2 linked regions of the Astyanax mexicanus genome follow. The protein of the gene in region 1 purifies or fractionates together with the protein of each later gene. This does not show direct contact. Links are inferred from orthologs where the notes say so. Each region holds a gene or a part of one and is shown on either strand. Other genes may lie near its edges.

The links.
Region 2: the proteins of mob1a (region 1) and pja2 purify together in Homo sapiens (affinity purification with western blotting; 3 studies listed by BioGRID). This does not show direct contact. The link is inferred for Astyanax mexicanus from reciprocal best matches to the Homo sapiens genes MOB1A and PJA2.

What each region holds. Positions count from the first base shown.
Region 1 is NC_064429.1:1,652,761-1,660,169, reverse strand, and holds the start of mob1a (MOB kinase activator 1A), read left to right. Parts: upstream 1-4,385; 5' UTR 4,386-4,601; coding exon 4,602-4,615; intron 4,616-5,956; coding exon 5,957-6,123; intron 6,124-6,346; coding exon 6,347-6,440; intron 6,441-6,760; coding exon 6,761-6,894; intron 6,895-7,409. Other genes in the region: mthfd2 (bifunctional methylenetetrahydrofolate dehydrogenase/cyclohydrolase, mitochondrial), read right to left, coding at 3,362-3,441. UniProt on the Homo sapiens protein: Activator of LATS1/2 in the Hippo signaling pathway which plays a pivotal role in organ size control and tumor suppression by restricting proliferation and promoting apoptosis.
Region 2 is NC_064408.1:18,516,774-18,523,937, forward strand, and holds the start of pja2 (E3 ubiquitin-protein ligase Praja-2), read left to right. Parts: upstream 1-4,160; 5' UTR 4,161-4,329; intron 4,330-5,804; 5' UTR 5,805-5,806; coding exon 5,807-5,996; intron 5,997-6,388; coding exon 6,389-7,164. Other genes in the region: man2a1 (alpha-mannosidase 2), read right to left, coding at 396-530.

The DNA of each region.
Region 1 (7,409 bases):
TTCTGTATGACAATAAAAAAATAATAAAAAAAATAATAATAATAAAGGAATATAAGGGGAAAGAAGAGGGGAAAACACATACCCCTAGACTGTGCCCTAAAGAGGAACATCAAAAAACCTCAGCACATGAGCACATACAATACACACAAAATAACAAGTAATGAAGGCGTGGGAAAGTCGCACTGCCTGGCAACAATCAGTTTGCCATGGAGACACCCTTGATCAGCTCCCAGTCAGAGACACATCCAGCAAACTTAGGTAAACAGGGAGAGAGTCAAGTCACAGTGTTCTTTGAAGGAATGTTCCCCATCATCCATAAGGCCGAGTGCTGATAAGGTGGGAGCCGAAAGCAGATTAGACTTTAGATGTTTAGGTGAGTGACCGTTGACCAGTTTAGGGCGCTCACTCGCTATTGTCCACCATGGTCTCAATTTTCTCCACGTTCCTTTGCAAAGCCGTTTGCTTCTCCGAGATGTTTTAAATGTTGCGGTTAAAAGTCACAGTCTGAATGCCAACAGCTCTGCGCACCACATCAATCATTTCGGGCAGCTTTTGGGGGCCTTTGACAGCTGTCCCCACACTTTCAATTTTACGATAGACCAGGGCAATGCCTAATCCAATCAGTAAGAACCCTGTGATCATTGTGCCAAAAAGGTAGACATCTTCGATGTCCTCAATGGAGTCGCCAGGCACACGGTCCGCCACGTCTCCCACGCGTCCCTTGCATAGCAAACTGCAAATCTGGACAAGCAGGTTCCTCCGAACCCAGGCTACTCAATTGCAATTAGAGACCCTTTAATTATATCCATTTCTTTTGGTCTGAAGAGCAGTGTGAAAAGAGTCTTTTAAGGAATATCAGTGCCAGACGAGACAAGAGAAGCCAAGCAGGAGCGATAAGGGGAAGGGAGGAGAAAGAAAATGCGACCGCCTTCAACAAGAACACAAACAGAATTTTTTCTTGTTCTTTGCAAAATATTATAGGTCTCTCTGATATGTATATGCATGCTGCACATGAAACTGATTCTTAGCCTCTCTTGTCTACAATAGCTAGTAAAAGAAAATCCTCAGAAATACGAGTTAATCAGAGATGTTAGGGTGTCTACATCAACCAGCAAGTTCATGGCCTCGCCCACCTCGGCTCAGGGCCGCCCACAGGCGAAGCTAAACCAGGTCTACAGCATTAAGACCTATAGCTAAGGAGGCACTAATAGCTCTGCTCACTTTGTTTACAGCACTAGTTAGTGTTAGCTACCTTGTGTAAGTAACACCTTGGTTTACACTAGGGAAGTACGGTTTGACAAGATGGCTCAAATCAACAGAACACCGGTCAAAGTGTACGATTTATGGCTGTCAGATCTTATCACACTCAGCCAAGTTCTAAGGAAATTGTGGAAACTAAGGTTAAGGTAATTTAATCTAGGTCTCTTTGGAGATCTGCTATAGAGATGGACTAAACATAGAAGAGATGGTAGCATGTTACATGCGAACTTCTTGTAATGGCAGCTCTCAAGCTAAATCCTTCCAGCAATTCCAGTGAAAGGATATCACAGGTTCAGATTGTTAACAGTTTTGAATGAGATTTTGCTTACATAAGAGGCCACATTGAAAAGTAATGAGCCATTTGGCATGATGTAAGAGGCCTCTTCATGTAGCAGCATATAATAGTTCTCTCAGTGGTGGATAATTATTTCATAGTGGACTTTTGTTAACACTTTTTCTAAACAGTACTGCTGCAAAAGTTTTTGTTTTTACAAAAAAAAAAAAAACACTGGACACTTTATGCTAGTTGAGTGCTTCGTTTTTCTGAATCACCAGGGCAATTCACTTGCTTGAGGGAGACACTGCCAAGTGACAAGCTCCCACCAGTCATTAATCTTTCTGTGGCCTTAGAGGAACTTGTGCTGAAACTTGTTTTGTCAATGGATCAGAGTATGTTACTTTTTTTAAGTAATCAAGAGGATTACATAATTACTTTACAACATAACCAGTAATCATTATCAGAACCTATTTTTATGCTACAAAAGAATGCTACCAAAGTAGTAAGTAAGTAAAAAGTAGCCCGTTAATGGGAGCCGGGTTGTTTCTGAACATTACTAATAAGGTCATGTGCATAAACCACGCGCTTGAGCCAGTCAGTCTAAATCAGAGACAGCAGGGTCTGCTGCAGGCCTTTAATAACACGTAACTCACATTTAAATAGCCACACAGCTCATTTTACACAGACACACACAGACACACACACACACAGACACACACACACACACACACCTTCAACTCTACCTAGAAATCATGTATTTGAAGTGAGATGTGAGTGTAAGTTACTGTATGTGCTTCAGATGAGAGAGACATTTATCCAGTAGTATAAAAGTATAACATTAGTAGCATGCATTTATCTGATTTATTAATGTGGGGATAAAGAGTAAAAATAAACTGCAATTTCTCCTAAATCAGCTGTTTTTGTACTGACACGCCTCCAGCTCGGGAAGTCTGAGGTTGTCGAGTTTGTCGTTAGTAAATTGGAGTTTGTGCATTTGCGCACAGCTCGTAAATCCTAGACGCGGCTTGAGGGCAACAGCACAGCGCGGACCTCCTTACTGCAAGCGCCCCGCAGGATTTCATCAGCCACAAGTGCGCGAGCACTACCGGCACACCGCGGGAGGGCGCGCGCCGTGGCTCCTCAGCGCTGTCCGCTCCCGGGTTTAATACATTTATTACCTAATGCCGACAACCCGAACACCAACAGCACCTAACTAACTCTACTAACTCCTGTCTGCAGGTTTATTACTGCTGGAAACAGCTAATTATCACTCACATACACAAACCTAGTGTTCTGTCGAATTCTGCTACCCTGTCAAACCGTGCCACCCTAGAGTATGTTTAACTGTACAAATAAAAAATATTAGAACATGCTGGCAGTAAAAGTGTCGGTATGAAATTTAAATAGCCTAAATCGCTGTATCAGGGTATCAGGATTAAGTAAAGGCGTAGAAGTGTGTAAGCCAAGTCCAGAAAGTAAAATTCCATCCCAGGCTTGTGTACCAACTGCCTGAACGGCTTAGCTTCGGCAGAGCCGCCAAGGCATTTAATACAAAACCCTGCGTCGGATGTTTTATTTTCTGGACCTGGGTTACCCACCTCTAAGAAAAGAACATGAAAACAGAGTTTTGCGCATGAGCAGAACCGCTAAGTAGCACATATCGATGGGGAGCACAACTCGATAGAACACCCCGGCTCAGTCAGCGCGGCTGTAAAGCTAAACTTGGCTTTCTCTGGAACCATATAGAAAAGTGGGGCTCGGACACAGCGCTGCGCTGTATTATCACACACAGTGCTGAGCTAACAGTAACTCTGAGCTACGTACCGTGAAGCGGACAGATGGAGACTGCAGGTCTGATGGTGAGCGTGCTGGCACAGCTTCCGCAGCGCTCTCAGCGTGGCCATGGTGTAGCCTAGGAGACGTCAGTTCTAATATATATACATTAATTAAGATACATATAGAATAAATAAGTATAAATAAACAGACAGACAGAGCGGTGCGGTGAATGACTGAGACCAGCGAGCCGGACACCTTCACCGGTCAGAGCGACCCGGGTACGTCGTTTTAACATATGCTCCTGTACGTCACAAAGAAGGAGGGGTTCCTACACCGGGCAGCTCCGCCTACTGACGTCGACGAGCGTAGTTCCATAGATATCTTATACGTAGATAATAGCATATTAATAAGGTTTATAAATTAATTGTATATATATATATACATATATACACATAAATACACACATTATATATATATATAGATCAGAGGCGATGTGTGTATTTATGTGCATATATATTTTTTAAAATATAAAATGAATGGAGTCACACAAAAATGATGGCAAAAAATACATCTCTCAAGGACTTTAATATTTAATATTTTATGGTAAAGTTGTGTGTGTGTATAAATGTTTATATAAATAAAAAAAATTTTTATAAACCTTATTAATATGCTATGTCTTTGTTTAAAAGCATAATATAAAGTATTTCAGCATGAAAGCGTGTATTTGTAATGTGTAATGTGTCCTGTATCATAACTATATCTCTGCTGTTTGTAAGTCGATACATTGTCTATGTATATGATGTCTATGCGTAGTTCTCTCAGAGTCGGATGAGAGCCTGCCCACCTGCCAACTAATTCCTATATCATACAGCGGGGGTAATATGTAATGTATTCATTGGGGGCAATGTGTGATGTATACAATTGGGGTAATGTGTGATGTATAAAGTGGGGTGCTGTATACAGCGGGAGTAATGTGTGATGTATAAAGTGGGGTGCTGTATACAGTGGGGGTGGTGTGCGATGTATACAGTGGGGGTAGTGCACTGCACTGCATCTCTTCCGCTGCGCAGCTGCTGCGCTGTTTTTAGATACACACACTTCCTGTTTCAGCAGTTTCTCTTCTCGTCAGTCTTTGCGCTTTTCAAACTCCTACAAATACTTTAAATCCACACTTTAATGCCTTAAACAGCGCTTCAGTGAAGAGCTTACCCCTGAACCACACACCGTATTTTATCGGAGTAATTCCTCAGCCAGCGACGGGACTGAAAGTTGAAGAAAGTTAACGGAAATGAGTTTCTTATTGTAAGTACTGTAGCGCTCCGCCTGGGTTTAGCGCTGGTCCCTCTGTGAGTTCGTCTGCTGGGGATATGCTGCTCACTTTAGCTAACACGGCTTTAAGTAGTTTTGTGTTTTATTTAAAGAACTGATGAGTGTTTCATATTCGTCAGCTAATAGTTAACTATCTAATAGCAAGAATAGCGAGGAGGGGGCTAGTTCGGTTAGCTAGGCTAGCTTTAGCTGGCTAGTATGTATGAATTAAAATATGTAGGTTAGGTTTGTCTATTTAGCTAGCTTTAGCTCACAAAGCTGAACCTATAAACAGTTCCTCTCATAAAGTTCTTTCTTTTTAGCTGAAATAAGTTTTTAAAAAGAAGTTTGGTTAAACAATGGCTGATTCTAAGCCTGTGTTATTGTCTCCTAAAGTGTTAGTGTTGTCCCTTTCCCTGTATTCACTGATCTATATATCGTTCTTCATTAGTGTGTTGAAATGTCTGTATCGAGCACATTATTAGAAAACAAAACATCAGTGTGAATTTTACACAAACAATTTCGATACAATGAGGAAATTAACGATAAGATTTAAGGAATGTGTTCTAGTTAGTATTTGGCTGGTTCCCATATTAATCTTTGCTGGAAAGTAGACTGTTTTTGATAACTGTCTTGTAGTAAGGTTGATTAAGGTGTAAACTAATTTTTTTAGTAGTAAATATTCATTAATGATTTAGTTTAAAGATCTATTAAAATATCTAATATATCTAATAAGTTTAAAACATATTTTTGGACTTGAGCAGTTATGCTTAATATGCCTCTACACTTCAGCATATCTGTCTGTCTGCCTGCTGCTATTGGCTGTTACAGCATTAATAAAAGTGCATTGCTGACAGTTGTCGCCATGTTGTTGCAAGAACTGAGATGTATGAAGAAACAGGAAACAGTCATTATTTAGTCATACCGCATCGTCTCTGTGATGATTGACTAATTACTGGTTGTTGTCGTCTTTATACGTCTAAATTCCTGGCACAGCGGGGTGTTTTAATATTAACACTAGCTGTGCCGGATACAAATACTGTCTTTAATTTCTTATTAACCTATGACATTATTAATGCTGCCAAAGGGGATTTCCTCTAGCTTTGTGCTCCAACGTAGCAGACCTAGTAAAACCACAGTCTCGAACTAGAATATAGATATGGAAGTGTTTTAGCATGAAATATAGAAAGAAATAATGCAGCATTTCTGCGGGAAGATTCCAATGGTTATATGTGTTATGTGACAATGACACAAGAGGATTTGCTTTGGGGGGGATCAGCAACATGTTTAAAACATTAAAAATGTTGAAAAAAAATCTTACTGCTTTCGCTTTAGTGCAAGTCGGTCTTCAAAGACATTCAAACCAAAGAAGAACATTCCAGAGGGCTCTCACCAGTACGAACTCTTGAAGCATGCTGAAGCCACTTTAGGAAGTGGCAACCTTCGAGCTGCTGTTATGCTACCAGAGGGAGAGGATCTTAATGAATGGATAGCCGTAAATAGTAAGTCTATAATAATAAGTCTCTATATCTGCATGAGTGAGAGTTAATCTGTCAGAGACACCTGAAGAACAATTTCTATAAACACATTCAGTTATGTACAATGTGCAATGTATAAATCAGTCTAGCTCTCTGTCTAGAAAGAGATACAGAGGCTGTCATGATATAGCAAAAGGATCCTGCATATTGATGACACTATTGTTTGTTTGTTTTTTACATATAAAAGCTGTGGACTTCTTTAACCAGATCAACATGCTTTATGGCACCATTACTGAATTCTGCACTGAGACCAGCTGCTCTGTTATGTCTGCAGGGCCCAGGTAAAAGAAAATCATTTAAGGGTTCTGTTTTGCTTTGTTGTTTTGGTCCACTAGGTCTGTGTGCATATATAATATGTTCTTTATAATCATATAATCACATAATGTTTATCAACAAGCCCTAAGTAAATAAATATGTTCTCGTCAGTAATTTATGAAAACAGGATTTTTAGTGTCAGGTTCCCAACATGACGTGATGTTACTGGTGTATCTGTATAGGCCTTTGCATCACTGTTAATCATTCTTGATGTGATAAATTAATCAAAACTGGATGTTAAAATGTGTGTCCAAACATCCAACATTCGAGTTTTATGTTTGTACAGGTATGAGTACCACTGGGCTGATGGTACCAACATTAAGAAACCAATCAAATGTTCTGCTCCAAAATACATTGATTATCTGATGACCTGGGTTCAGGATCAGTTGGATGATGAAACAATCTTCCCTTCAAAGATTGGTTTGTATTGTTTTTAATCCAGAAAACATTTGTTAGAATGATGCTTATTCCATATAAGTATATACTAGTGGTGTCAATCACAAAAAAACTTAGTCATAACTTAAATTAATTTGAAGAATGTAAGATTGGAATTATATTTATATTGGAGTTGTCAGTCCCTTAAAATATAATGTATTAATCACAACAGTATTTTTTTTATTAATCATGAGTAAAAAATAAAAGGCTAAAATGCTGATACTTCCCTGTATCGTAAGAGGGAGACAAAAATAAGTGTGGTGTGTAGTGCCTGGCAGAATAGAGTCTTTTTAAATTATTATAATATCTCAGTGTAGTTGTGATGCTTTATAAATTAGTGCTGAGTAAGCTTTAGCATTGAACATAAGGAAGTACAAACACAGAAGCTCAAATGAACCCTAGTGTAGTACTGCAGAAAATGTATGGATTAATCCAGGCAGAATAGAAATCTTGCCATGCACAGCAGCAGCTGTGTTTGACAGCACTACCATATACATATA
Region 2 (7,164 bases), on another chromosome or scaffold:
CCCACGCATGCATTTCTTTATACATAAAATATACATAAAATATAATACATTTTACATATATTTCTGCTCCATATGGTATTTCCAAAGAGGAATTAAATATATCTGCATGCATTCCTTTATGTGAGATACATAATTTTAAATGATATGTTTAAGCAAAATAAATAAGCTAAGCTGAAACTGTACAGCATGCTGTATTTAGTGGTAGGCAGGAAGAAATTGTTTTACAGGTAGTAAAAACAAAGCAGAGGAGGTTCCTGGTTCAGTAATAAGGTATGATATGGGGTTTGTGGTGTTTAACAGTGTGGTACAGTCCACAAAACAGCAGCCCAGCACATACAGCAACATCTGCATATACCTGTAAATACAGAGGAATAAATAAATAAATAAATACTCACGTTCTGAAACCCCTCTAAACTGCTGGGGTCTTTGGTGTGGTCTAACTGCAGATGGTCCAGCATGAGGTACAGGGAGAACACCACCACACAGAATATGGCACTGCCAAACACTGTGAACTGTCCCCTGAACTTCATTTCTCCTCTTCAGATCCTCCTCCTCACGGTGCAGGTTAAGAAACTCTCGGTCACTCAGAAAAAAGGGTAATCCAGCTCCTCCACTCTCATTAACTACACGGTGAAATATATCCCAGTATAAATCTCCTGTAAAGATCTGCTGGGTCTCACTGGAGTTCTGGAGAGCTCAGAGGATCACAGCAGTTCTCTGAACTCGTGAGGAGGAACAACATCAGCAGCAGCAGCAGAAGCAGCAGCAGCAGCCATTCCCCCACCGCGCCGAGCTTCCTCAAACTTTACCGACGCGGAAGAGTTTGTGTGATTCAGCAAAGAGACGCCTGATATCCTGAGAGCACTGACAGCCCTGCCCCCGTCCTGCCCCCCCGTTCTGCCCCCGTCCTGATCTCCTCTCAACACAGCCGCACACCGAGCAGCAGCAGCGGCAGCAGGAGGAGCAGCTTCACCAGGAACCCGAATAAACAGCGCCGCCTGCAGCTCACCAACACACACAGCGGGCGGGACTTCAGACAGCTGATTAGATACTGTACAACAATTACACATACACCCTAAATACACTAAACACACATACACACACTAAAAACACAGATAAATATACAGAAATATATTAAATATACAGAACTAAATATAGAGAAATTTACTTAACAAATACCAAATGTACTACTTATACAGAAATGTACTAATTATACAGCACTAACTACACATACATATACTAAATATACATAAATATACTAAATATATAAAAATATATACATAAATATACCAAATATACAAATATCCTAATAATATAGCAATATCTACACAGAATATATTAAATATACAGAAATATACTAAATATACAGAAATATACTAAATATATAGACAAATATATAAAAATATGCTAAACATACAGATATCCTAACTATAAAGAACTAGACATACAGAAATATACTAAATATATATAGAAAATATACAGAAATATACTAAATATTTCGAGAAATATAATGAATATACAGAAATACAGAAAACTAAGCATATCAAAAAATATACAGAACAAAATATACATAAATATACATAAATGTTCTAAATATATAGACAAAATATTTCGAGAAATATATACAGAAATATACTAAATATAAAGAAAAATATACAGAATACAATAAATATGTAGAGAAATATAATAATTATACAGAAATATATTAAGTATATAGAAAAATATACAGGACAAAATATACAGAAATATTCTAAATATATAGAAAAAAGTTTCAGAACAAAATATACAGAAATATACTAAATATATAGAAAATGATAGAGAAATATATAAAATATACAGAATTAAATATACAGAAATATTCTAAATATTTAGGAAAAATTTACAAAAATATTCTGTACAGAAATATACAAAATATACAGAAATATACTAAATGCATAGAATATACAGAAGTAAATATATAGAATATACAGAGCTAAAATACAGAAATATATCAAATATACAGAACTAAATATACATAATTATACTGTACATGAATATAATAAATACACAGAAATATACTAAATATATAGAACTAAATTTACAGACACACTGTACAGAAATATACAAAATTTACAGAAAAAAAACTAAATATATAAAACAAATATACAGATATTTAATAAATATATAGAAAAAATAAACAAACTTTACAGAACTAAATATACAGAAAAAATCTATTAAATATACAGAACTAAATATAAAGAAACATACTAACGTAATTTAAATATACACAGCAATTTACTGTAAAGAGTTTAAAAAACTAGTATAAGTTCATAGTGGAATTTTTATTTTCACAAGGAGATCTTAAACCATATCCGGACAGGATTAGTTTCTCAGGGGGTCCTGGGGTAATTTTCTCATTTATGGCCGTTTTATGGGCGACCATGTATGTGTTTTTCTCAGATTTCCTCTTAAAATTACAGGCTGAATTACCTACTATTTTTTAATGAACTCCTCCGGTAATTTTAATCCTGTCCGGACTCACATCTCTGAGTTTCTGAGTTTGATAATATTGTTAATGAGAAAGTCGTCATTCTAATTGTCCATATTATACAGTCCGTAAATTATGTCTTCAACAGAAAACATTTTAAGAAAAGGAACTTTGGAAGATAACCAATTAAAAATATCAGACCACAGTATTTTAACATATATGCAGTGAAAAAAATAAATGCTTAGTTGATTCAGTATCATCACAAAAAACACAGTTATTTGTTTTAATACCAAACCGTTGTTGAATAAAGTGACTGGAAAGATAGATTCCATTTAAGGTTTTAAAGTGGATTTATTTGGCTTTTGGAACAATTGGATATTTGAGGTATCTGGTGCGCAGTGTGAAATATTTTTCAGACACGTCCCCCATACCTGTCAAGTCTCCCGTTTTGGCCGGGAAACTACCGTATTTTACTCCTCTTTCCCGCCGTCCTCCCGTATTATGTATTTTCCCGTAAATTTCCCGTATTATACTTAGTAAAAAAATATATAGGCCACAGGCGACAATGCACTGACCGCTGTGTGTCTCTTAACCAATCGTGGTGCCGGTTCAAGGAGAAAGTCCCGCCTTTCAGGAGAAACAGCCAATCAGCTAGCTGGTTTTGCGGAGCGCAGTTTAGTGTGCGGGAAGCCCCGCCCCTCCCCTCGCTGTGAGTTCAGGCAGCTAGTCGAAGCAGCTGTCCTTAAAAATAATCTGGATATACGGAGATTTTTCTAAAAGAAAGGTAATTAACCATGTAAACTGTGATGAGATTGTTTCTGATAGCGGGTTAAAAAGACTCTTCTCTGAATCAAAACATAAATTAAACCCACTGTGTGTTTAATAAAATACAGCTTGTGACTCAGTTAGCTTAACTTTAGAATTAGCTAGATAGATATTCAGGGTTTGAGAAAAATCTACATATATATATATATATATATATATATATATATATATATATATATATATATATATATATATATATATATATATATATATAATGCCCTGCCCTGATGTGCCTGATCAGCCAATAACTATCATTTCCAAACTCTATTAGTTCAGGGCTAGTTTTAGGGTTTGTTAGAATTTGTTTAAATCTCAAGTATTGTGGTGTAATGTATTATTTAGAAGGGGTAGAAGAGATGGTTGAGCTGGAGAGAGAGAAAATGTGGAGAGGGCTGAAATTAACTGAACTGATCAGGAGTGGACTGAACGATAGAAAGAAGTATTAATGAAAGATTATTAATTGTGTAGGCCCCTTAGGACTATTATTTACTTATGGAATATATCTGATCCATGTCCTTTTTGTAAATTTGTGCACCCTTCAATTTCAATTTTAAATCTATTAAATAAAAAAAAATATATATATATATAATATATATATATATATATATATATATATATTTATTTATTTATTATTATTTTTTTTTTCCCTCGTTTGGGCTGTTGGGGCGGCGGAAAAAAATCCCTTATTTTTAAGTCCAAAACTTGACAGGTATGACGTCCCCCTGAGAAACTAATCTCGTCCGGATAGGGCTTATTAGACAGCATGCTAGTGGCCCCCAGAAGTGTGGAGCAAAAAGGGGGCGGGGTGGGCTTTACACAAGGGCAACGTACCCGGATGTAGTGCTGTCTCCAGACAACACAAGGGAAAGTAAACAGGGGGAGTGACCCACCTCGTCTCTCGGCGGAGCCCCCCTGAGCCCAATGAGCCTGCCTGCTGCTGAGAGACAGCATTGGAGCAGGGCTGTCATATGACTCTGAAGTTTGGCTGTGACGTCCGCTCAGTCGCTTTAACAAGAGGGAGACAGAGAGAGAGACTGGTAAAAGCCTTTATTGTTAAATATCTGCGCTGATTGTCGCTGAACAGCACAGCGGGGCTGTGTGACGGGGCTGTAGTGTTTAGATATCACATCGTTTCATGTCATTTGCTGCGGGTTGGGGGGCTTAAAGCTCACAAAGCGAAAGTTTAGCTCTCGATAAGCAGGCTAGTGGCTTCCTAGCCTAGCTTAGTTTAGCTTAGCTTAGCTATGTTAGCTTAGCATAGATAGATTAGCTACCTTCACTTACTTAAAAGTAACAGGGCCCTGGGGATGAAGTTTAGCCTGTTAACATTTCTTGTAACTTGTGATGAGTAAAACTAAAGAGTCAGAAATGTCTCATACTGCCTTAGATAGCTATATTTGTATATATTTTAACTAACCTACTGTTTGTTAATATCACATTTAGCTAGCTAAGCTATGTGATAAATAGTTACCTAAGCTAAAGCTAGGTAAGCTAACTGTGTGCTTCAGTCAGTTAGCTAAGCTACACTGTTGTTGTTGTTAGCACAGTGGCAGCTAATGAATGCCAGCCTTCAGGCTTTGCTTCTTCCTGTGCAAAAAATAGACAGTCACGTTAAATAAAGGCATTTTAAAACACGGAAGAAATAAATACACTGATGTTTCCTATAAACTCCATTGCAGACTTACAGCTGCTATACCTGTGCAGCATATTAGCTAGCTAGTTTAATATCAAGCTTCCACTAATGCGGGCTTTAATAGGTTGTTAGCTTGTTAGTTAGCAAGCTTAACTACATGCTTTGCAAGTTCAGACCTCTGGAAGTTAGCTAACAAGCGAACTAGCAATCATATCTAACATTATACTTTACTGAAATCTTCCTGTGTTCAGGCCTACAGATCTATAGCAAGCCATTAAATCCTAGGGTAACACCAGTGACTCGACACTCTAAACATAGTATCAGCAGTGTTTACTTATAGAAACTCTCATTTCAGAAATCCGCTATCACATTGTACTAGTAATATTGCCTGATCTATACAAATATGATTATACTGGATGTTACCATTGATTTACATAGATTTTTGCTTCCTATATTTCACTTCATAATCACATTTTTATTAGTAAGAACTCCAGTTAAAGAAATCTACAGTTGGCTTTTTACTAGGAAATCAATAATATTGTTGTTACCAATCAAAACTCTTATTGTGGGCATCTAAAATTATATTATAGAGATCTAAAACTGCATACATCCTAAAAATACATATTTGGATTTCATGTGGACCTGGACACACATAGATAGCTGGAATTACAATGTCTACTATTCAGAATGCATTAGCATTTAAGTTCCAGGTTTGAAAATATGTACAGTACATTAAAAATATATATATACATATATAAATAAGAGACCACTTAAAAATGATGTTTTTTTTATTTTAAAAATGTTGATCATCTGATTCAGAAATACAAAGGCCTACACAGTTATCTCGGTTGTGTACACTAAGCTGTTTCTTTCACATAGCAATGGGTCAGGAAGCGGGCAAGCCGTCCTGGCCCAGACCATCTGGGGGTTACCAGACGACCACAGGGAGGAGATACGGCAGGAGGCATGCGTATGTCACCTTTAGGCCCACCCCATACAAGCGCAGAACTCTGTCCAGCATGGATAGCCAGGAGGTGGAGATGAGCAGTGTCCAAGGGGAGCACGCCACTGGTATGAATCAGCACAAAATTACATCACTTGCTGACCTTTGGTTAAAATTAGGGATGCACCAAAATTAACATTTCTGGACAAAACAGAACAAAATGTTTCCACACACATAAAAACATGTTTTTTTTGGCACTGTATACAGATGTTTTTGAAAACACTTAAGGATCCAAATGTTTATTTTATAATTATAATCATTTTTTTAAAGAAATTCTATGTAGTCAATATGTTGTTGTTGCTCTTTTTTACACTTTGTGATTAACTGCTTAATAGAAATGCTTCAAAATTACTTGACATTGACTTCCTCTTTATAGTTAAAGTTTTTTGCTTACCCTGTAAAGTTACCATTTTAGAGAGGTTTTTACCAAATGTATTAAATAAATTCTTTCTCTCTTTAGCTCTGTCTAAAGGAAACATTCCTTCAATGATTCCAGCTGGCTTTCCTGTGTTGTCCTCTAATTTTGCTGACCGGGAGTCAAAGACAAACCAGAATGACTGTAAAAGGCACCCACACTCCTCCCACAAGTTGTTGGAGTGTGAGAAGTGGAGGCATGATCACATAGTGTCGTTTGACACTTGTGCTACAAATGGTGCTAGTGCTTGGGATGTGAAAGATGAGGTGGATGGGAAGCTGGCTAGTGCGAGTGTTTTGAGCTTTGTGAACATTGATTCCTATGAACCGGACAGCAGTGGTGGTGAGGAGGAGGGTCTGAGCTCAGAACAGACTTGTGTCTTTCAGAAAAAGCTAGACATGATTTGTGGCCTTGGGAAAGACTTTGATGACTTTGGTCACTCACATGCGTGCATGGACGGAGATTTCTGCCAATTTTCTGATCGCTCAACCAAAGAGATGCTTTTAAAACCTGAGCAAGGGGATGCGCATTCCACGAGGACTGAGAAAACCAATGGTAAATATGATAATCTGGGAAAAGCCCAGTTAGACACTTGTAATAAATCATCATACAGTGCTGGACCGTGCTCCTGTATAGACCCAGAATGCACCAGCATGCAGGAAACAGTTCAGTCCGAAATGGTGGTCAGGCCGAAGGTCCGCAAGCAGACGAGTCAGAGCCATGCCAGCAAATCAGAGCACTCACAGGGGAAGAAAGAGAGCCGGACATCAGCTGCAAGATCTGTGAAGAGCTCGTGTGCTTCAGTTCCTACTTTTGATTAC